Linked DNA regions of Oreochromis niloticus. The protein of the gene in region 1 purifies or fractionates together with the protein of each later gene. This does not show direct contact. Links are inferred from orthologs where the notes say so. Each region holds a gene or a part of one and is shown on either strand. Other genes may lie near its edges. The genes, in order: mpdz and plekha2.

Region 1 (12,349 bases):
GCCCTTTGCTGCAATTAGTTTTGTCTTTAGTAACTGAAAAGCATGCTCTGCTGAAGATCACGTCACTGACATGTTCATTAAATTGATTCTGTAGTATGCTTTGGGTCATTTTCCACTTACACTCTGACGCACCATCCAACCAGTTTTGCAGCATTTGGCTGAATCTGAGTAGTGTATAGCTTTTTATACTTCAGAATGTATCCTGCTGCTTCTACCAGCAGCCACATCAACAATAAACACCCGTGACCTAGGTCTACTAGCAGCCTTACATGCCCATAGAATATTTTTCCTCCACCATGTTTAACAGATGATGTGGTATGCTTTGGATCGTGAACTGTTTCTCGCCTTCTCTATGCTTCTCTCTTCCCATAATTCTGGTTTAAGTTAACCTTGGTTTCATCTCTCAAAAGACTTTTTTTTCAGAAATGTGCCAGCTCTTTTCAATTATTTCTGGTCTAGTCAATGTCTAATCTGTCTTTCCTGGTCTTGGGTGTAACCAGTAGTTTGTATCTTGTTCCAGACGCTCTATATTTACATCCATGAAGGCATCTCTTGATTGTATGATATGCCTACATCCTTGAGTGTTGTCTTGACTTGGTTATATTTTGTTGCAAAGTTGTTTTGATTAGTCGTTGAAGTAATTCTGTCACTATCCACTTTAGTTTTCTTTCGAGCCTTTCGATGTTGAATGCACCAGACTGACAAACTCTCAGAGAGGTTTATTTGGGTTTTTCAGCTTAATGACGGTGTCCCTTGCATCATTATCTCTTTAAAACCTCAGCCTGAGAGGTCTATTGAACTGCTAATGCTGGCATAAAGTTCAACATTTGGACTCGTTACTTCCCTCATAAATGAGTAATGAGGGAATCAACCTCACCTGCCAATGAAACTGTTTGTCAGTCAAATGTCCAGCAACATTTGAACGTCTGAAAATGGGGTGCTATGTATAAAAATGACGGTGATTCCTAAACAGTTAATGCAAAACTGTTGCAAAACCCCTTGAATTAAAGTTAAAAGTCTGCACTTCAGTCACATCTTGACTAATTTAATTAGAAATCCACTGTGACTGTGTACAGAGGCAAAATCACAAATAATGCGTCACCGTCCAAAAACCTAAGGACCTAACTATGTGTGAGTTTGCAGAAGAAAAGGTGGTCCTTGAGCAAAGCATAAGGAGTCACAGATATATCAGCCAAATGTGCTAATTGCCATAGACCTACTGGGAAAGAAGATGACATTTACCAATGGCAGGAATAATGAGCTGACTAAATGTTTAACTGTAGAGTGATAAAGAGTTGAAAGACTTTAAAACAAGCTTCTTTTTTTGTGGAACCCAACCAATAAATCTGTATTTTCAGCCAAAATTGACTTATTAAGGATCTGGAGCTATATGAAAACTCTGATTTTGGTTTTTAATAATAACGCAGAAAAGATGCTTAGGGTAATTTAGAATTGGTGTTATCAGTTTTTCCAGCAGAGCAGCGCCTGGAGCACACGTATTCATCACAGTTCATCATTTGCAGCTGACAAACACACAGTCAACATTCCCGTCCTGAGAGTGACCACAGATTGCTGTTTTAAAGAAAGAAGCTGGCAGCACCAATTTGGCATCATGCTTGACAGTTGGGCAAATAAATCTCTATGGGCACAAACAAACAATCAAATTTATGGCAACATTATCAGATATGGCAACATTGGCAGCCCACGGACATTGAACTGAATCCAGGGCCTCTTACGCTGGTTGAGAAAACTCTCAGCTTAAGCCAAATGTGCAAAGCACAGCCAGCAAAGACGGACACCCAAGCCCCCGTGCAAAAACTGCTCATTTTAAAAGGAAGATTTTCTCTTTTTTTGATTATGGCAGTGTTGAATCTTAATTAAACCGAGTACTGGTACTGGATTCAGAAGTCTGCTATCATGACCACACTCAACCCTAAAGCTGGTTCAATCATGGATGAAATCATGAATATTTTATAGATGCCTGGCATAAAACAATTTAAAAAACCAAATACTTACCCATTGTTTCTATCATTTTTAGAGCGTCGGATGAATGTGTAGCCTTCCCTTCATCAAGGCCTGAAAATGACAAATTCAGTATTTAATGTCTTTTTGTGAGCAATCAGAGAACTAAATATTAGACCACTAACTCACGCTGTTTTCTTTTATTTTTAACTTCCACAAAGCTCTCAGAGCAAGAAAAATGGCTCATCCTCCTCCTGGGTTCTCCTCCCAACTTACACATTTTCTGTTCAAAAGATTAACATTAAAAAGAAACTAGATTTATTTCATTTCTGTTAGGTCCATATTTATCTCTGAAGAATGCTTCACTATGTGCATCAGAGTACCATTGTGCTGAAGAACTGTCCCAGTTTGTCGAGTCTCTCGACAAACCGGCTGCCAGAAAAGCGCTTCTACTCAAGCTTCTTAGTTCCCTTATATTCCACTAATGCTCTTATTGATGAATAAATACCAAGTAATTTACATTCCTGAAATTTCATACAGCCGGTATTAGATGAAGCTTGAGTATCCATTTTGCTCTTATCAGATAAATATCATCTTACTTCATACAACCCTGATAATTAATTATCCTCTCACACAACAATCTTATAAGCTGCTTTAAAACTAGCACAACATCCTGCTAACATGACAATTTTCATATTTAATTGTTCTTCATTTTCTCCTTATAAATTAAAAGTTTACACTGACTTTTTATTTGCACTGTTACTTAGCTCATAAATGAGTGTTTAAACTGTTGGTCAATATTAGGAGTGGGGGGTGGGCGAGCAGATAGAGCACAGTATTGCACTAATTTAGGTGGTGATATTGTATTAGTTCTGCGACACCAAAAAATAAATTTTTATTAGCTAAAATAAAATTCTTTGGGGACGACTACAAACAAGATGGATCATCTCATGCAACACCAATCTGAGATAATGTTAACTGTGCAAACTTACTTTACACTGGCTCGACCAAACTTGTGATTGTCCAGAGCTTGAGGGTAAGGTAAGGTGATAGCACAGGTCACCTGATACGAGGTAACCTTTCTGCAAATAGTTGCAGTCTGACTTGGAAGGACTGCAATCACTCTCAGAGAGATTGTCAAAGGTTTGCAAATAATTGCTGTCTAATTTACAGATAGATTGAGTCTCTGTCAATGAGCACAACGCGAGAGGACTCAACTCAACTGGCTGCCAGCTGCTTGTATTCTTGTTATATTCCCGTAAAACCGGAAGGCTGCTGAATGCAGAAGACATAGTTAAATGTTTCTGTCTCTGCAGACTGAAACAGATATGTGTTTATCAACAATTTATTACAGTTAATTGCTGTTTTATCAAAGTCAGGTTGCATGTAATTGCCAAATTGACCCAATCAATCGTAGACTGATATCAGACTGATGGCACACTGACCTGGTCTTATGGCAACATTAATGGCAGGTTTTAGTGACAGTGTTGGTGTTTTTCAATATCACTGAACAGCAATACTACGGTGGTTACCACTGGCTTTTATAATGTCTACGGTAACACACAGCAAAAGAGAAAAAATGCTTATGTTTTGCACACAAAAAAATTACCTAAATGCATACCTGATTATTAAGTAATCAGCTCATGTATTTATAATTATTATTTTAAACTCCCTAAAAGCTGCTTCAGTAAATCACCCTTTCTATTGACTGGTGTCATCCTGCTCACTGTTCCTTTCAGACACACACATTTCTGACTATTTTACCTGGAAAAGTCTTAATTTACCAATATTTCATTGTACCATTGTGCTTGAAATCAAAGTCTCATTTTGCACAATGGGTGGATTCAAACATCTATCTGAAGTCTGGCTATTTGTTCTATCTAATCTGTCAAAAAATATATCTTTGTGAAACTGACTGTTGCCTTGGAAAAAACCCTGTTACCTTCAAAGTGCATGCAATCAAATCAGAAAGGCAAGAGAAAGAAGGAGCAGTGACTCCTCTACTGTGTAAACAAAGCCAGTGCCAATAAGCTCATAAAGACTCCCAGTGCCTTGATACTTTAAAGCTTTAAAAGCTAACAGCAATGCATGATGAAGGTGATCATGTCGTTTGTATTTGACTAATTCTTTTAAGGAGTGCTCGCTAACAGAGCCCATGCAGGGAACATCACACTTGGCTGCGGAGAGTGGCTTTGTAAGCAAGCGTGATATGACTCAGGGAGACATTACACGATTAAAGGAGATTGCTCAGACAATTAAAAGCCCTGTATAGACTCTCAGAATAGCTGCAGTATCTGTGGCAAAAGGATCACCACAGCTCTGGTTTGTTTATGCATTTGCTTCACTCATCACTGCATGTGTCCTACCCTTTATGCTGAGTGATGAGCTAGTATGTTAGCTGTGTATTTCACTCATGTAGTGATGTATTTATGTAGTAAATCTGCCTTCACACGCACCTTACAGTCACTTGTGGCAACAGTAGTATACTATATGTGTTTTTTTTTTCAATGACATATGTGGTTCAGTGTCTGAAAGTAGCTTTACCATTCCTTAAGGATGCACACACTATAGTGGTATGCAATGAATCACAGAAGGCCGGAGGAGCTCATTAGCCGCTATTACACAGTAGATATCAGCCTCCAAAAAAAGTAGTTTAGCTCCATGGGTAGCATTTCCTTGCGAAAATAATCATTTGTGAGGTTTGTGGTGAGTAAAATTAGCTAATAAGAAAACGCTGTTATTTTATCGCGGAGTTCCTCCAAAATCAAAGAAATTAGCACTATGCCCGTGTTATTTCTTGTTAATAAAGCGTTTAGTACGTCGTATTTGTTTAAAGCTGGTATATTCTGCCCAGGTTCGGTGGTGTTTTGAATACAGTCGACAAGGCACTCGGGACAATCCGATTTTCTCAACCCCTCCTCCTCCTCCTCTTTCCCCATCTCATCTAGCAAGAAAGCAACAGGCTTCCGACGCGGAGACGGGAAAGAAGTTACACACTATCAGGGCTCTGTACGGCCACAGGAAATCGCCCAAGCTGGCTTCTTGTAGTATATATAAACACTTTTACTTGAAAAAAAGCCTCTTGGATCTATTTAAAGGCAGTCTGGTGTGGTTATGTGACCAACCGCTACAGAAGACGTCTCACAATATTTTCCTCTAATTAGCGACATTAAAGCTAACAAAGGGGGTCTCTAGCTTGAGAAAAGCTGAAGTTAGTACACATTCGAGACTTCAGTAACGTTTCCTCAAGCGAAACACGTTTAAAGAGAGTCACTTACATGAGTGTGGACGCTCTGCTTCCCCGGCGGCCAGTATCTTGAGCTATCCTCTGTTGTCCTGCGGCTAACGGCGCACTGACTGGGGCTTAAAGATGGGGCGTTGAGTAACTCGATCCTCTGTGGACACTTCCAGCGATAGCCGCACCGACAGTTCAGCTGGGGCTGAAGCGCCGCTTGCTGGCTGCCCTGACAACTAGGCCCTACATACATGGAAGAAGCCCTGGCTGCCGTGTAGGGCCAGAGCTAAAGTCCCAAAAACAAAGCAAACTCACATAAACTTAAACTAGGGCAGGGATGTTAAACTCGGTTTACATTGCGGGCCACATTATGAGCCTACTGTATGATTTTAAGGAGCCCGGATCAGTGATACCCCCCTTTTCCGTCTGTGTAAATCAGTTTAAATGCACACTTAAAAAGAAGTGCAATTTCAACAGTACACTGAAGTTTGTCTGCAGAACAGAGAAATCCTGCTCCTGTAAATGAAATAAATATAAATTGTAAGAAATAAATGTGTAAAATTAGCTCATTTCTCAGATTAAACTGTGATTATAACACTTTTTGGGGGGGTTATTTAATAGAAAAGGATCTTGTTTCAATTACTGTTAGAAAACCCCCAGAAATTTATATAGATTTTTAAAAAACATGAATCTTTCTGTTATTTAATTGCTTATGTGTTAGTTTGGTGTATTATTAATGAAAACAAGGGATGTCTTTATCACTAGGAAGAGCTGTAAAACTTTTCAAAATACAGTTTAAAGTCGAAACTTTATGGCCTCCCTCAAATTTTCCAAAGCTGTCCAGTGAGCCAGATCGGAGTCTTTGCTGGGTGAAATTTGGGAAGGGGTGAGAGGGGTTGTCTATAATGGACATTATCTTGGCTAGCATCCTCTCACACATCACCTCTATGGAGTCTAGGGGCTGGCCAGGATGGAGCTGGCCCTCTTCACCAGTCTATTAAGTCGGGTAGCACTTTGGCAGGAGAAGGCATAGATGCTGTAACAAGAGAGACAGAGGGGCATGAGGGGTTAACCTGGCCTGCCTATAAACCGACGTTTAAGTGGAGAAAAGACAGCAGAAAACAGCTTTCCAACTGCTTTCATGGGGCAAACAACAGGAAATTACAGATAAATCACGGCAAAACTTTCACAGAAGGTTATTCTCTGAAAAAAGTTGGCCTGGGAGACAAACACACACAGCCCAGCGATTTTGTCTGAGGCAGTTAAACTTGGCCCTTAAAATTATTACTTTTGAGGAACACCTGACCTCAGCGACCTGAACGTGAATCACAGGTGCAGAAGTGTATTTGTTTAAGTGCCCTTGAGCAAACACAGTCTCTAAAATGCATAAAATACACTATAAAGGAAGCGTAATATTGCTCTCATTCATATTACATATATTGAAGTTACCGTGAGGCCCATCCCTACCATGGCTGGAGCCCGGGGATGTATTTGTCTTAATAATTCATATTTTCTCTGCATTTTTTTATATGCTGCACTAATTATAAACGATTCAGCGAATTGTTGGAACGGTTTTCAGTCAATCCAAAGCATTTGTGTGAGAGTCCAATCAACAGGGCAGTTTATGCTTCTAATTAAATATGACTCCCATGCACTGCAAGCTTGTTAACCACATACAGCTCACCCACACACTTATGCATGAATACTTCATGCTGCCACCCACACAAGTTCATGCAAAAGCTAGATATTTGTCTAATATGCATTTAAGTGTAATGAACAGTATACTCTGTGCTTTTATTACTTCACAAGATGATGTGATTTTAACTCAATATGCAGAACATTTAGTAGACACGAGAAAAGAACTTGTCATCTGTTAATTGTGACTCAGATCTAGCAGCACAACAGAAATGTAGTAGTGCTGTAATTTGCATTGTTTTCCACGTTGTTGCAAAGGAAAAGCAACTATTAGGCACTGGCTGGTCAAGAAAGCCTCTTAATACTATTTCTGCCCTCTCCACAATTGCTTTTATTTTCATGGATCAAGACCTCAGAGGAGAGCAGGAAAGAACAGGGTCAGTCTGTAAGAAGTCATTTCACCAACAGGGAGAGGGATACAAGCTGCTTTCAGGGAGCTGATACTGACTAAATCCCTTCACCATTTATATCTTTACTTCCACCTCCCTGCTTATCCACCCTGTAACTCCCCTCTTACTCTGACAATAAGCCACTTTTATGTGGGAGGTCTGACTCAGCCAAATGCTGAAAAAGACAAGAGATTGAAACAAGATAGAAAGGAAGAGAGGGGGAAAAAAACATCTTAGCTCAGTGTTAAGCAGCTTCAGCATTTTATATTTTTATACCTGCCTGTCACAGGCCTTCAGCATTAGTCATTGTTTGAGACAGCCTAGTTAAATCTGTCATAACTGGATTCAGATCTCTTTTTCTCAATACTCTGAAAAAGGATTATTTTAGCTGCATTTAACTGTTTTTTGGACCAATTCGGCGTTTGCAAAAGTCACGAATCATCCCTTATTTCCTTATATTTTGCTTCCAAGGAGCCAGGTTTTATTGCCCTTGAGCAGTAGTTCTCCAGGCTTTCTGAAGGTCTGTCAAAGTTTATCTTTGGTCACGGGCTGCTTTTTACTCATTTTCAGGTAAGCTTGAATGATTCATTGGTCAGTGTTAAGTGACTTAACGTTAACTTATGAATCAGAGCCATGACATACAAATGAAAAAGGCGCCTAACTCTAGGGAGTGTCAACCAGTGCTGTGTATACACATAAAAGACAGTTTACCAAAGGAACAATTGCTAGCACAAAAACAGATGATTTGTTCACATTTCTTTAGTGGACTCTATAAATACTGCCGAGGATAACACAGTTTGACAGGCATCAAACAGTATTTTTGCATCAACAGGATGATTCCCAAAGAGATATTAGCTGAAAACGTGGCATATTTTGGCACAGCACCTCAGAAACTGGACAAGTGGAGAATAGAAGAAAAAGTAGCAGACCTAAAAAGTTATCTATTGCAAATGAAGAGTATGTGAAAGCAATGTCCTTAAGAAAAAGGTGTGAAAAAGACAGCAAAGAGTTGACACGGGACATGAGAGATGCTACTGGACCTTCAGTTGATCCGTCTGCTGTTACTGAAGCCTCATCAGAAATAGTCTCAGTGGAAGAGTGGCTGTCAAGAAGCCTTTCTTAAGAAAGGGAAACAGGGAGAAAAGCCTGAGATATGCCAAATTACACAACAACTGGACTGAAAATCAGTGGCAACAGGTCTTATGGAGAGATTAATCCACATTTGAAATTTTGGGTTCAAATCATTGTCAACAGAAGCACTATGATGGGTTGGAGCTGCATTTCAGTCAGTAATGTTCAGGGATTCAAATATTATTTACAGAAACAATGAATTGGAAACATAATTACACAGAAAAGTACAGTCAGATTTTGATCCACCATGCAATACCATCTGGAAACGACTGATTGACTTCATTTTTTAACATGACAATGATCCCAAACACACTGCCGTTGCAGTAATACCATACCTGGATAGAAAAACACACAGTGGAACATTATCAGTCATGGATTGGCCTCCTCAGAGCCCGGACCTCAACGTTACTAAAGTGATGTGGGATCCTCTTGACGGGGAACAGAACAAAAGGGAGCCAAAGAAGAGCTTTGAATGTCCTTCAAGAGGCCTGGAGAACTATTCCTGAAGACTGCTGAAAGAAATTATTATTATTTCACATTTTCTGAGCAAAAGAAAGTTCAAGTCAGTTGTTCAGTTCTGCATTTTATACAATTTATTATGATTAATATTAGAGTTGGTGTAATTTCTAGTACAATAATCTTACACATATAATAATAAACTCCCGGTTGTGTTGGGACCAAAGTCTATCTATGTGACTATATGTGACTGTGATAACAGTAACAAAGGTACTGGCACACTTAATATCCATGTTAACATGATTAACACTATTACCAACATATATGTTGTGTGAATAGTATGCAGAAAGCTAATACACAGTACTTTGCACCACTTACGTTCACACAGCCTGATTGCAATAGACTGTAGAGATTAATGCGACGAGTGATTATTCAAGAGCGCTGTGATTCAGCTATACAACAACATTTTTAAAATTTACAGCAATTTCCTCTACACTGCACGAAAACGACACATTTTCATGAAAAGTACAACTTTCTAAATATCATGTTTTATTGGAAACACACTTGCTATATGAAGTCATATGGTGTAATAAAAAAAACACCCTGAAGGAATCACAAATTCAGTGTCTGAATCATATTGGCAGAGTGAATGCTGGTATTGTTTGTCTTGATTTATTGCCAATAAATCCATCAACATTCAAATAGCCTTTGGAACAAAATTTTCCCAAACGGTATAAAAAAGCTCACGGAAAGATCTGAAAGTCATACTTTTATTTTTCATATTAAAAGGTCTAGCCTGAATAATTCACTAAGTACTTCTGCAGTACTCTATAATACAGCTTCTTGACCACAACAGTGGGAGTGCGTGTTGGGTCAGTGCTAGTAGATGGCAAAACAAAAGGAAAAGACTAGAAGATTTAAGAGTTTTAAAACTAGAAGGTTGTCTTGATGATGGCCTTGCAGTAGGTATTTCTAGTCTTGTATCAGTAGTTCCTCAGGGTCAGAAAACTGAAAATTGAAAGTTTGGCCTGATATTGTCGTCGAGCAAAGGTCACATGAATCGTAGGAAATCAATAAGTCTGGTCCTGTTGGGAATGTGAATGTGCAGATGGAATTTAATGCCGGTCTCGGGGCTACTTTTGAAGATTTTAGACACTTTGAGAGGTCGTTTTGTGTCTTGGAGGGTTTAGTCAGAAGGGAAGTCATAGGGTCACCCAAAAATCAATCGCCCTCTGCCACTTGAGAGCATGAATGTCCGTGGCAAATGTCAAGCCAATCGAGACATAAAATAAAATCAATTGAACAGAATTTTTTTTAAAATGACTGCTGAACTGCAACCCTCGCTTTTCTCTGGTATTCAGCACAGATCCGGGTCAGACATGTAATACTAAAGTAAGAAAATTGAGTTTACAAGACAATGGCGGTATATTGCAAGTACAATATAATCAATAAAGAGCTTTACGTGCTATGAAAGATTAGGCTATATTATTTCAGAATTTCAATGTGCAATAACCAACAGTTGTGATATGAGTGAACGTGATTAGTCATCAAGTATCTTCAATGTGTGAGAGCATCTGTGCCATTACTTGCTATAAGTCGTTGATTGCTAACCCGACCTGCTAGCTTATTACCGACAATTTATTGCCTTCATCGTCTTTTCAGCTTTCTGTAACGCTACACTAAAAGGAAATTACAACCTGCATTATGTGAAAGAGCTCTGAGAGAAGGTAACAGACAGATGAGTCCTCAATATCTGACCTCAGGGAATCTGACAGCTGAAATTAGGGCCTTAAGCTCATATTTCACAGTGTGTACTGCTCTCGGTTTCATTATATAGCATTGAAGGGCTTCTGAATGCACTGTGAGTCACAGCAGGTGAGGTGAGCAGCTATAACGTTGAATGAATGATGTATTAAATGTCCACTTAGTCTTTAAAAGCTAGCGTTGCTCTGTTTCGAAGGGGGAAAAAAAACTTTGGATAATTTATATATGACCAAACTGCGCCTTTCACCAAATGTCTTTATATTTGCACCTATTATTGTATTTGATTGACACCGTCACAGCATGCTTTTCACTGTGTTAAACTGCAAGTCTTCTTTGAACAACTCTACAGGTGGTTTGACTACATTCACTGCTGTTATGAAGGCATGTCATACAGACTCTATCCGGCTGTGACACATTATATAATGTTGCCTTTAAAACTGGATTTAAGTGTTCAACTTTAGGTTGATAACTCTTGGGTAATAGTTTTAGCCTTTGTCTTAAGAAAGATTTTCACATATTTTTTCTATTATAACTGAGATTATAAGAATTTAAACCCAAATCTTTTCTTGAAGAAACTTAAAATGAATAGTAGCCATGCTAACAGCTGCTTGAGGAGGCTATTTAGCATGCTAACTAGCATGCTAGTTAATGAGCGAAACATGCTAAATGTTTTAGCATGTTTAGCTTTCCTTCTTGGTTGAGCATATTTAATATGTATGTGAATTAGCACTAAACAAAAAAGTACAGTCGATTTAGAAGGTTGACCTTTAAAAAAAGAACCCAGTACGTTGGAGGTTATATTAAGTATTTATGGCTCTAATGTAGCTTTGTGTTAGCTGGCACATGACTAGCATACAGTATCTTAGAGGATGAGATGAGAGAGTTAAGCTAATAATGCTGCCTTTTAAGGTAAATAAAACACTGTGGATCCAGGCGTTTGAATATTTGTCATAATTTTTAAAGCCAAGTTACACTGATGTGGCTTGTATTTGCGTCTAAATCACTTTGTCAGCATCTTATTTTATCAGCATTTTCACACCACACTTTTAAGGGAGATGATCAAGGAGTTGCCTGTCATGATGATGATAAATAATGTAGTGTTGTTTGTTGAAAAGCTGAGGAAGTAGCTGCCATGTGGCATGTGTGACAGGGTATAAAAAATGGTTCTTGTCAAGAATCTCTAAGAAAACTGCTTTTTAACTGATCTTTTATGTAGCGATACACATGACCACCTGCTTACAGTAAGGCGACATATCTAGACAGCCACTTAAATTTTGAGTATGAGCCTATAGAAACACAACAAACTTAATTTCATCAGCTTCTAAATCAAAGCCAGATGTGCTAGCAAACAGATGCCTAGTTTTCACAGGACTTTATGCAGGTCTGTGAAAGACTAAGTGCACCACAATTCAATAACTTGTAGTAGCCATTTTCTGTATGACTTTATCAGTTTCTCACACTGTTGTGGGGGAATTTTGGCCCGCTCTTCTTTGCAGTGTTGGTTCATGTCATTGATATTTGTGGGTATTCATTTATGTACAGTTTCTCTAGAGGACCCACCACAGTATATCAATCAGGTTGAGGTCTGGACTTTAACTGGACAACAGCATATTTCCTTTTTCCCCCAAACATTCTGTTGTAGATTTGCTGCTGTTTTTAGGATCATTATGTTGTCCTACGTTAGCTGTTGGACAGATGGCCTCAAATCTTCAGGAGT
Region 2 (12,469 bases), on another chromosome or scaffold:
TCTGACGTCTTTCGCCGTTACGAAAATATGAAGAGCACCCTGGAGGGCTTTAAGAAAGTAAGGGGTAGTAGCACAAATTGGAGGATTGTAAGAGGATTAAGGTCAGAATAAGGTTGGATGGTATCCTGTGATTAAGGGCAGTGGTCTTAAGAGTGATAACACAGGTTTAGATCAATATTTCATGGTTCCCATCTTCATCAGATGCCACATAAAAACCAAGTGTATGCTGAAATCTTTACCTCAGTTTGATCCAGGACTTAAATAGAGTCCCCACTTTATGTGGTAGTATTGGAAAGACTTCTAGGTGTAGACGTGTTAAATTGCAGTGTAGGGCATTACTCTAGTTAAAGACTCGATTTAAGGGAAGAATTAGAATAACAAAAGCATACACGATAAAGATGACTGATAAGATGCACTGTGTTTGTTTCCTCATGCAGAATGAAGAGGTGTTGAAGAAGTGTGCACAAGAGTATCTGGCCAGAGTCAAGCAGGAGGAGCAGAGATACCAAACACTAAAGCTGCATGCAGAGGAGAAACTGGACAAGTATGTAGAGAGTAAATATAAAACTACCATAAGAAACTAAACACTGGACAGATTCAGTTTCTGTTAATTATCTCTCATTTCATGCATCTCTTAGAGCTAATGAGGAGATTGCTCAGGTGCGTGCAAAGGCGAGCGCAGAAAACATGGCGATGACCGCCAGCCTGAGGAAGGAACAGATGAAGAACGAGTCTCTGGAACAAGCCCTGCAGCAGAAGGTGAATTGCATCATGGATACAAAATCTGCTCTGAGACCCTTTTAGTGTGTAGTAGTGATGGACAGGCTGACAGAGGAGGTCAGGCAGGAGGCTCTTTGGACTATTATGTTTAGAGAAGTCATTGTCATCTATAGCGAGAGTAGGGAGCAGGTGCAAGAGAGTCTGGAGAGGTGGATGTGTGCACTTGAGATAAGAGCAAGCAAGACAGGTGTGAAGCTGCAAGGAGCAGAGATGGTGAAGGTGGATGAGTTTAACCTGGGGTCAGCGATCCAAATAATAGACAATGCAATTCAATTCACTTTTATTTATACAACGCCAAATCACAACAACAGTCACCTCAAGGCGCTTTATATTGTAAGGTACACCCTACAATAATACACGATCCCACAATAATACAGTAATAAGACAGTGCAGAAGAGAGTGCAGGCAGGGTGGACATGCAGAAGGGTGGTGTGACAGAGGTGCATAGTAGGGATGAGGTGAGATGGATGCAGATGATCCGCTGTGGCGACCCCTAAAGGGAAAAGCCAAAAATGGTTTTTTTTGGCACTTGAATACCATCAAAATACATGTTTGAGGTGGTACAAAGAAATAGTCTGGACTTGGGCTGGATCATTTCCAAATGAGCGTACTTAAAGAAACAATATTTACATATGATTTGCACTTGTATTTGTTAAACTAAAGGGATCATGCAGCTGGCTAGCGCTGCAGCTCAGCTGAGGTGCACACCATGAAAGTTTAGTTACAGCTTGTCACACTTGAACGATCACGAGCCACTTCCTTCTACAGTGAAGTCTGCTAAATAGAAATTTGTTCCTACATGAAACTGCTTACAAGAAAACTTTTGTTGTGTTTTTTTTTTTCTTCTGGGTATCTAGGTCAGGATTTCTGGCAAATGACAGTGCTGCTGAGTTTTAAAAAAAGCATTTTTGGTGGTTAGATGGTATTTACTTACTTTCCTCTATTCTGTTTTTTTTACAGAATCAAGAGATCGAAGAACTGACAAAAATCTGTGACGAGCTGATTGCCAAAATGGGAAAAACAGACTGAGGATTTCTTTATGGGAATCAACCATGATTGTCCGTTCCTCTGGCCCCGTGCATGCATTCAGCCCTGAAGCAGTTCTTATACCCTGTGCCTGCCCTGCATCTCAGAGCCTGCTTATGTACAGACGTCTAAAGTAACTTCTTGTATACTACGATTGCACTACATGTGACAGGAACCAAGAACGCTCTATACATTTTAATTACGTGTGATTATCTTAGTTTGTTTTGACTTTGTGCCCATTTTGAGGCCATCTGGAGCCCTTGTGCTTTTGTCAATCATTCCAGCGAACAACAGCTCGCTTGTGACTCAACTAAATTTTCCCAGCAGCTTAACCGCTAAATTCCCAGCAACTCCTCATGCAGGGTGACATCAGATTTAATCTAGGTCGAGATTTGTTTTAAGTTACATTTCAGCTCGGTTTTGTAGAAGGAATATTTTCTATTAAAGAAGCAGTCTATAAAATGTATTTTTCTATGAAGCAAACGTGGGTTTTATGCTCACCGAGGAAGGCTCAGGGGTATTTCGTCGGGGTTGAATGAGGTCAAGGTTAAAGTCAAGCTGCACAAAACGGGAAGAAAGGGGTTTAGGATCATTTGAGGAAGTAGAGCAGCCCACAGAAGCTTTTGTTTGTTTGTTCAGTTATGATATTGAAAGCAAGCTGCACATAATTAATATCATTTGTGTAAACTGATTCAGACGGCGGCACATTTGGGATGCTGGACAATTCAAAAAGCAGCAGAATATTAATCAGTCACTTTATATGTAAAAAAAAAAAATAACCTGACAATCACATAAACATTGATGGCTTCATCCTGTGTGCATAAACACAAAACTAACTGGTGTTAATGATCGCGAACAGCTGGAAAAGAGAAAAACAGTCACTCTGTATGTCAGCTGAAGGCTAAAGGCTATTATATGATTTTAAGTGCTGCTGTACTGTCTGTCAACAGTTTTTGTTTAACTGTCAGTATGTCACCGATTGCTCACTAATTCACATTTATCTCTCAGACTTTGACACCTTTGCATTTTTTTCCATTGCTTATGTGCAATGATGAACATGTGAGCCTTATTGCTTGTGTTTACAGCAGTACACTAGTAATGCAACAGAAAAATATCAGTTTATTGCATGTTTACTTTCACATCTTTGCATTTTTCAGAATGCACACTGTTTTTCCTTAGCACACCAACAAAAACTAGATCGGCACAGTGCCGCAACAACAGTAAAATTGGAGCTGGTGCCCATATTATACCGAAAAAAAGTTTTCTCTTTTAGAAAAACAAAAGAAATGTGTGAAAAGATCAAAGCTCATTCAGGTTTTATCATAAACTAAAAATATAAGCCTTTCATTTTGGTGTTGGTACTTTTTGGTCAGTCACTACTGTAACTTAATGTCAGATAACTTAACTGGCTTTGTAACTTTAGCCCCTTTAATTATTTAAATATATATTTGTGAATTAGAAATGACAATCTCACTCCTGTGTGGAAGCAACTTGAGCGTTTGTACATCCTTCCTGAATAAACCTAAATATAATTTGTTCTGCTATGTTTGATTTTTGTTTTCCTGTCTGAGTTCTCTGTTTGTGTCAGTGTCCACATGATGGCCGCAGCTTTGGACTCGCTGCTAATTACGATGCACAGCGTTTACATCTTGCACATACATTACATTTTATATTCACGCTGTAAAAAGTTTTAGTAGTTAGAAAAAGAAACAAATTACCTCATAATTCTGTTAATAACACCAAACTCTAACCGTGTCTCCCCCTGGTAAAGCTTGCTTTAAGTCAATTACAGCAGTATGCTGGCTGTGCATCATAGATGGAGATTACAGCGATAAGACTTTAATGCCCTCAGACACCTTCCCCTCCAGCTCCACCTCAACCTCCGGTGTCTCCTCCATCAGACGCTCATCTCGGCTCATCCACTCTTTCTCTGGACTCTTGAAAAGACACAGTGACCCATCGCCCTGCTGCCATGAAGACTGCTCTGGCTCTGCTGCTGCTCATCTCTCTGGCCTGCCACGGTAAGTTTTTGGGAGAAGGGATCAACTTTGCTGATTGGAAACTTTGTGTTGGAGAGAATCCACTTTTTTGGGAGAATTTACTCTGCAGCAAATGTATAGTATTAGTGAGGTTAGTCACTATATTTTATTTACTGTCTGTTGGACATACATTGCTTTGAGTGTGTGCAGACGTTCCCTAGCCTCAAATTGTAGGAGACGACAGAAGCTGGATACTCTGCTCAGTGTGTGTGTGTGTGTGTGTGTGCACGGTTGAATGGACTAATAAGAAGGTGGTTGCATATCTGCATGCTTGCAGCCACCTTTTGAATATGCATGCTTAGTCTCAAGCCAGGCGCTCTCTCCTGTTCTGTCTGTGAAGGCCATGCTCTCAAATGTCACACATGCGTGGCGTCCAATGAGGAAGACTGCAACCGTCAGGGCTCCACCCCCTGTCCTCAGTATGCTGATGCCTGCTCCACCATCACAGGGCCCAGTGAGTAAACACTCACACACACATATACATGTACAAACACACACAGAAAAACAAGCAAAACCAGTATGATGTGGCTGGATACAGTAGTGCCTCACTAGAGGTCAGCACAACACTGACAACCCACTGCTTGATTGTGTCACAGATTCAGGAAACCAGCGGTCCTTAAAATAGTGCTCAAACAGTTTCCATTTCCATAAAAAGAGTTTTTAAAGTCAATATTAAAATCCATAAACCACAAACTCATAAAACTCACTTAGCTGCTTCTCTTTTCTCATGCATTTAGCATGTAGTCTTCTGAAGGGGCTGTGGCAAGACCTTTTTCTGTTGGTAACAAAAATCTGAGATTGTTATTTCACAGAGTGAATTTGTAACAGATCAGATGCATGTGATGATGTTCTAAGCACTAAAATGACCTAAAGTTTTTTTCACATATTGGTCACATGACATCTTTTAAGTGTGTGTTCATTTGCGTGCTTGGAAAGTCTTCAGTTACTTCAACACAACTTACCCGTCACCCTCTCTGACCCGATCTCTTTCAGACACGGTTATGAAGTCGTGCACATACAAGGCCTTCTGTGAGAAGGCTAACAGCGGCACCTCCGGAGCCAAGATGCATTGCTGCTTTGGCGATGACTGTAACGGGCCCCACAAGAGTCACAGCCACGGTGGTCATCCCAACAGCACAGGGGCAATTTCTTCCAGCCCAGTCCTGCTGATCACAGCCCTGCTGCTGCGTATGGCCTTGAGTCAGCTGTAAATTCCTCCACCTCCTCCTCCCTTTTTTTGTTTTGTTTTCCTTCCAGTGATTCATCACCTCCTCTTTATCTGTTTTATTTTTAAGTTCAAAAAAGGGATTTGAGTTGCAGAGAGTTTCATGTGGTTTGAGACAAATATCGTCTTTCGACGAGGGTTTCTGACGGCTGTGGTGGAAGGGAGTGTGGTCTGTTCTGCAGGTACAAGCTGCTTTAAAGCAGCTTCCTTTGTCTAAGTTATCATCCTCTCAAACAGTAACCTCGTTCTCTGTAGCAGCTTGTTGAATTTAAGAGGATTTTAACCTGGGGAGTGTTTGTGGTGAATAAATGTGTACAAAGTTAAGAACAGCTCACAGCTCTGATGCACCCGGGGGGGGGACTCGGGTGTGGTTTTGGTAACTAAGTGCTGGGGTGCCTCACTAGTTTAGTGCACAGCTAGCTTGCTTCGCACCATAGAACCACAAAACGAATCTCTTTCGCACGGTAATCTGAAACTGATTTAAAAGGTTTGAAATTGTCTGTGATGATGCTTTGTTATTTTATCTGTATGGAAGCTTGTCTGAATAAAGACCTAATCACACCCTCGTTTCGTGTGTGGGTGCAGTGCATGGTAAACTGTGGCTAAGGTACCCTTGGTGTGGCATTTGACACACTGCTCCTCACTAAATTTGTTTTTGTTAATGTGTCTGATGTAAAAGCACACCTTGGGCGTCTTCTGTACAGTAAAGGAAACCTTCAGTCTGTGATTTTCAGCAGTAACAGAAGGGTCTGCTGAAACTTCAAAGCTTCCTTTTGCAACACTGTAAGTTAATTTCTGTGCAGTCGCCACAGGATATGAAATCAGTGAGGTAGGTCTCCGTCCTGAGGCAGGTCATATGACGTGCAACCACTTCCTCTTAACAGGAGGACACAATTTTGCCGAAAGCAAGAAAAGTGAACACAGAATCCCTCCTGTGAATGTAGATATTTGTTATTTCAGCACTTACAAAGGTGTCATGCTCAGATCCAGCAGAGACTTTACATGTGTGAAAACCTTAAAACCAGAATCTTGACTAAACTTACAGTGAGGTGTTGAAACTGAGAGGTCAGGTCAGTTCATCTTTTAAGCCCTCTTTTTTTTTTTTATCACTTAAGAGTTTTAGACCTCAAACTGTGGTCACTTTTGTGTAAAGGTGGAATAAAGCAGGCTTTAAGCATTTTATTAGAATACCCTGAGTTTCTTTACATCCTGTGGCAATGTGAGATGGATGACTTATTATTTTACCCAACATTTAACACTGAAGTTGCTGTTTTGCAAGTTAGACAAATTTAAGATACTTGCTAAAGTTTTATCTATCAGCTCTTCAACTTAAGTTCACATAGAAACTGCAATAAGGTAATGTGTTAAAAAGGATCCTTTCTGCATAAGTTTAAAGCCTGAATTTCCATGAACACCTTTGACTGACAACCTTGAACTCCTCCACACTTGCATATATTTGCTTTTGATGCGTCTTCTTTAACTTTGGATGTTTGTCTCTGATAGCACTGGGCTACACTAGTGCTTTGTTCAGAGGTCGTGCTTCGGGATATAAGGTTAGTAAATTATAAGTCTGATAACCACAAATGCTTTTCATGGAATATGTTTTGCATATTTTTGTTGCACGGGATCACATGCAGCTACAAGACTCAACTCTTCCAATAGCACGCACTAATCAGCATAACCGACCGTTTTCTCTTTATCTAAATAATGCAGGACTTTCATGCAGCCGTGCGGCTGCTATTGATGACACTATGGTCATGTGACATGAGAACTTATGGGGTTAAAGGTCTGCAGAGGAAATCTATCAACAAATACACTTACACCTACACGGTGAAATAAATTTTATTTTTCCTTTTTAATGTGTGAAAGCGTCTGAAACAGCATTTTAAAAGGTTCCCGTGAGGCAGTTAGTATCTTTAAATTTGAACAACAGCCCCGTTTTTGGTGGAGAACCTTTAACTTTAGGTTTACTTTATATATATTTTTAAAGCACCAACTGTTTTTGGCATAACATCTCGCACCTGTCAGCCTCACCTACCAGCGGTAATGACACTATGAGTCTTGTATTCCTGTTTATCCAGGTTTACACTCCCTTCCCTTTCAGCTGTTCTGTGTGAACTACCGGGTTCATCTGAGCGTGTGCGTCTCGTGTTTGTCCCAGCTCTCAAAATTGCCACACTTTTTTTTTTCAACTTAAAACTGAAGATAAAAGCAGAGAGAGTGTGTGTGTGTGTGAGAAAAAAAAAGACCTGTTTAGATTAAAGCAGCAGCAGACAGGAGGAGGAGGAGGAGGAGGAGAGCCCTGCTTGTGCTCAGGGGACGCATAGATCACATCCGGGGCTGGTTTATTCTAATAACGAAACGTCCAACCCGGAAAAAAGGACAAGTCTTCTGTAATCGGATCACACAAACAAATTGAAGAGGGTGTCGGAGTTTCACGCACGCCGGTCTTGCGAATATCCACGGCTTATTTTAGGTTTTTAAAACTTTATTTAGCATGCTCCTGTTCACCAAACTCGTGTCTCTCTCCGCTGCTTCGTAGCCCTGCGGGGCGCTGGCTTTGGCGCACGCCGACTCTCCATAGCGGGTAAGTTAAGTCGACAGGGGTACTTTCTGACTTTGTGTGTGTGTGTGTGTGTATGTATGTATGTATGTATGTATGTATGTATGTATGTGTGTGTTTGCGCGCGGGCGTGTGGTACAGTAGGTGTGGCTGGCCGTTGAGTCGTTGGATCTGGTGAGTCAGTGCAGGTCATCTGAGCTGAACAAATGTAATGTCTGTCAGGTGTTGCTGAGTAATTGCGCCTGATCACATTTTGACACTTTTCATTGCATGCTCATAATCACGTTGGAAATGCACGCGCATGGCAGTCAAGCTTGGTATCCAGGGGCGTGCTGCACGCAGCTGCTTTTACTGTCAGTTAAACGATTTGCTCGATTAACTGGTCCACAAAATGCCAAACATCTTAAAATAGACTACACGAAAACCCCCCAGTTGTGTTCCGGATTTCAAGATCCGGATTTCTGTTTCTGTATAATCCTTTAAGATCATTTTATTTATTAAATTTTACATAAAGTGATTGTAGGGAGTGTGGAAACTACTTGGGTGAAGATTGTTTGATGACACAACAAACTGTATTTTTATTTGTACTTTTTTTTTTTTTTTAAATTAAAGAGCTATTCACCGTTTTCACACCTCCAAGTTAACTCAAATGCCAGAGGAAGAACTACCGAGCCTGTCTTTAGCAGCTCTGGGGTGAACTTTGATAAATCTGAGAACAAAGTAAAGCATTTACCAGGCAGAACAAAAGATGCTACAGTGCTGTAATAAGTCTGTAACAAGTTCCCCCAACGATTAAGAAGAACATGACTAAACCTCTCAGACATGCCACAGGTTGGTCTAAGAGATTTACTATCAGTTTCTGCCAGACTGTGTTGTGCTTGCACACAGATGAAGCAGATATGTAAAGGTGCTGTAGGTGGGTTTTACTTCATTACCTTGGATGTGGTATAAGTCAACTAATATCGCTGCTGTGATCTGTACGTTCTGTTTTCCTGCACACAAACTGATAATTGCTCTGTGTATATTATCCTGCCACGTTTCAAAGCTAAGGTACTTGATAGAAATGTAAAGACAGTTGAAATGACATTTGTCAATGTAGTTTTGCCAAAGATGCCACAGCTTCGCCGCTGCTTGTCTTTATAATGGCTAAGCCAGATGTTTTCTGATGCCCAAAATGGTTTAATGTGCACATGGGTGCATGTGTGGGGATTGTGCTACTGTCAGAGCTGACCTCTGTGGCATCATTTTCATTTTTCCATTACAACAAGACTTTCTGCAGAGCGCTTCTGTATCTTTGACCTATTTAAATAGCAGCAGACTAACACATCAGAAGCACAACCCACTAATTTTTTCAAAGCAGTTTCAAAATGAAACATTTTCTTACCCATGAACTCAAAAATAGATTCACTGGAGAGTCATCGGCATGGTGAAGACATAGTCTGTGTTTGTCTTCTGTTCCTCTGAGTGGGTTGTCTGAATATTTTCATGGAAATGTTGATAATTTCCATCTCCTGAAGGCTTCCGAGCCAGGACGAGCCCGTAAAAAAAGTACTGGCAGGGCGCACGGCCATTCAGTCTTGATTATGTATTTTATATGACTGTCACGTTATAATTTTTGGTCCTGTATAAAAAGATCAGTCACAGATGTGGCCTAGTTTGCCATCATATTACCTTTGTGGCCTCATTACATTCAAGTTTTTCCGTAGATTCGAATCTGGTAAAGTAAGGATCTTCCAAATGGATCTATTAATTTATGTGATTATTTATTTTACTGGGTGCATCCAACTTTGGAGTTTGTCTTTGTGATTACTTCACATTAAGTCGACAGAGATGCAAAAGAGGCACCGTCAACAGTGAAAGTTCCTTTGGCAACTTAAGGAGGACAAGAATATAAATGAAGCCAGAAGCCTTGTGGTCAACCATTAGAAAAATAAATACTATGAGATGTCTGCCAATTGATAAAATGTAATTGAAAGTCTATAGAACTGAGGCTCTCTGAGCTGAATGAGCCTCGACTGTGTTGAGGAATCAGTCAGCAGCTCGGTGATTCACACGCATGGCATCGTTTCAATGAACACATCTCACCAGCTTTCTCCCCCTCCTCTCATCTTCTTTCTTCCCTCCCTTGCTCCCTGCCTTTCCTCCCTCTCCTCTCTCCTTGCTCCTCTCTCTTCTCTGGCCAATGGAAATGTGCGTGTGTGCAGATCATGAGTGCAGTCTGTAATTTTTGGCTGTGGTGGAGGGCCTCAGCTCAGCCTCAGGCTTCAGGGTTTGCTGCACAGCCTCAATCACGTCACATGAAAAACTGCTGAGTGCGAGTGGTCTATTCCTTCCTGCGTGTGTGCGCGCATGCATGCTTGTGTGCGCTTGAACACTAAATGAAAGATGATTTATCCTCCACATCTGCCTGTCTTTGCCTCCTGTTGCTCCCTTCACATGTTGTCTCTCTTTGTCCATCTCACTTGAGTCTTTCTCTTCCTAACTGTCCGTCTGTCCTCAGTGATATGTGATATCGACAGCATGCCGTACGTGGACCGGTTGAACCGTGTGTGCGGCTTCCTGGACATCGAAGAGAAGGAGAACAGCTGCCGCTTCCAGAGACGATACTTCATCCTTGACACGCAGGGAAATGCACTGCTGTGGTATATGGACAACCCTCAGGTGCTCCACACGCGCATGCACAACCCACACTTTCACAAACAGCAAGAGGAAATGAAATTGACCAATAGTGGCCATATAACCTTGGACTCTGAGCTAACGACGAGTCTGTGTATTTGTGTTTGTATGCAGAACCTGCCCAGTGGAGCCAGCTCTGTTGGCAGCTTGAAGTTAACCTACATCTCTAAGGTAAACCACTTTCATGACTGACTCCGCAGTGTGGTTGCATACAGTAAAGTCCAGCGCACCAACTTAGATATCTAAAATGCGAGCACACAAGAATTCACAGACTACACACAAATAGCATGCAAATTCGTGCAAGAGTTCATAGATACACAAAGAGGTCAGAGTTATCTCTAGTTAACGGTCACATGCAGCGCAGAGCCGAGGCAGACGCTGTGAAGTTTTCCAGATGTCAGCGCGCTCACTGAGGTAACCACAGATAATGACATCTGGCTCCTCTGCACTGCAGCGCTGACAGCTTCTCCCTGGACACTCAGTCAGATCTATGTCAAAAATTCCTCTGTTTTTTTTTTTCACTCCTTTCAGTTTATATTCACATTTCTTTTCTCTTCTTCTATCCTCAGGTGAGTGAAGCTACAACAAAGCAAAAGCCCAAGACAGAGTTCTGCTTTGGTGAGTTTTTTTAGGGAGGAACAGAGTGATGCTGATGAAATGGTTCGAAATTACATAATCTCCCATGTGTGATAATATTGTCCATTCCACTTATTGTGGATATTCACGGAACTGATTTCTTCTCCGGCAGTCATCAATGCACTTTCGCGACGGTACTTCCTGCAAGCCAATGATGTGACCGACATGAGAGACTGGGTGGCTGCTCTCAACAAGGCCAGCAAGATAACAGTAAGTGCCGTTACATGAGAAAATGCTTGATCTAGCAGTTATTGGTGGTGTTGGGGTGGGAGGGGTGGGGGTTGTTTCCACCTGAGTGCAGGAAGCTGCAATTTTGCTGCGGTGGGACTGAAACCAGTTCGACCCAGGCGGCTGCAAATGCCAGCCCATTGCCCACAGATCCCCCTTCACGCACACACACAGACACACACACACACACATTGCTGAATGAGGAAACTGTGCAAGAAAACGAATGATAACACAAACGTCACTGCGGTGAAGGTGTCGAAACTTGTTCATATGTATTTGCATAATATTTGTGTGAGCTCAATGAAATGTCCAGGAGCCTCGTTGATCAGTGATATTCAGATGTCTTCTGATGGAAGGTAACAGAGAAGAGTGTTTCTCTGCCTCTCTCACCTGCTCACTGACACAGGAAGCGGCACTGTTCACTCTTTTTCACTTCCCCATCGAGGGCAGGGCCGCTCTGCCGCCTTTTTTTTCTTTCGTCTTTTCTTTTTCTTTTTCTGAGCGAGTGTAAAAAAGGAAATCATGATATAATTGCAGGGATAAAGTAGCACATGGGGGGGGGGGGGGGAAAGTAAAGTTATTAAAATGCATCTCTTCATATTTGTCTGTTTGAGCTAGATGTGTTGCAGTTTATTAGGAAATTATACATTTAGCTGGATGATTCAGCTGTTTGGCCAGTTTTGGGAAACTGTAGGCTAGATAATGGATCTAAAAGCAGAAAATGCAGCACAGCATCACACAGCCCTACTATTGTTTTTACTGTATGACCAGCATGCACCTGCAAATCTGTTTTTCTTTTCCTGCTCCCTACTCGCTATACACCCCACGCTAACATTTGTGTGTCTGGTGGGCTTTATTTGCTTGGATACACTTGGTTGCACTTGGTGCATCAGTGGACTTTGAGAAAGCTTGCAATCTTTCACAGCCGATCACATTCAAGGTGTTTTTCAGTTAACTCTGCAGTAAAACAGTCACGGTGTTGTGGCGAGCGTATGACTAAGACAGTATTCCCAGAGTGAGGAAGAGCGGCTGTGGAAATTAAACAATCAAGTCCTTTTATTTGCTCTCAGAGGTGTCCCGTCTGTTCACAGGTGCCGAAGTCTTGCCCTGCATCTGTGAGGCCTGATGTAACCACGGTGATCAGTGATGCTCAAGGAGGGAAGAGACAACAGGCCTACAAGGCTGAGATTATTGGCGGCGTGGTGGTGCACACTCCTATACAGGTAAAATGATAGGACACACACACACGCACACTTTTTTTTAGCATTATAAGAATCAAAACTGTGGCAAAAGCAC

Evidence for each region.
Region 2: the proteins of mpdz (region 1) and plekha2 purify together in Homo sapiens (affinity purification with western blotting; 3 studies listed by BioGRID and IntAct, with this or other methods). This does not show direct contact. The link is inferred for Oreochromis niloticus from reciprocal best matches to the Homo sapiens genes MPDZ and PLEKHA2.

What each region holds. Positions count from the first base shown.
Region 1 is NC_031967.2:13,314,681-13,327,029, forward strand, and holds the start of mpdz (multiple PDZ domain protein), read right to left. Parts: upstream 5,544-12,349; 5' UTR 5,241-5,543; intron 2,077-5,240; 5' UTR 2,033-2,076; coding exon 2,017-2,032; intron 1-2,016. UniProt on the Homo sapiens protein: Member of the NMDAR signaling complex that may play a role in control of AMPAR potentiation and synaptic plasticity in excitatory synapses. Promotes clustering of HT2RC at the cell surface.
Region 2 is NC_031977.2:17,643,067-17,655,535, forward strand, and holds the start of plekha2 (pleckstrin homology domain-containing family A member 2), read left to right. Parts: upstream 1-7,311; 5' UTR 7,312-7,657; intron 7,658-10,133; 5' UTR 10,134-10,153; coding exon 10,154-10,294; intron 10,295-10,423; coding exon 10,424-10,480; intron 10,481-10,878; coding exon 10,879-10,927; intron 10,928-11,057; coding exon 11,058-11,155; intron 11,156-12,264; coding exon 12,265-12,396; intron 12,397-12,469. Other genes in the region: transforming acidic coiled-coil-containing protein 1, read left to right, coding at 1-57, 438-544, 639-759, 1,741-1,809; uncharacterized protein si:ch211-113d22.2, read left to right, coding at 3,779-3,827, 4,186-4,299, 4,839-5,056. UniProt on the Homo sapiens protein: Binds specifically to phosphatidylinositol 3,4-diphosphate (PtdIns3,4P2), but not to other phosphoinositides. May recruit other proteins to the plasma membrane.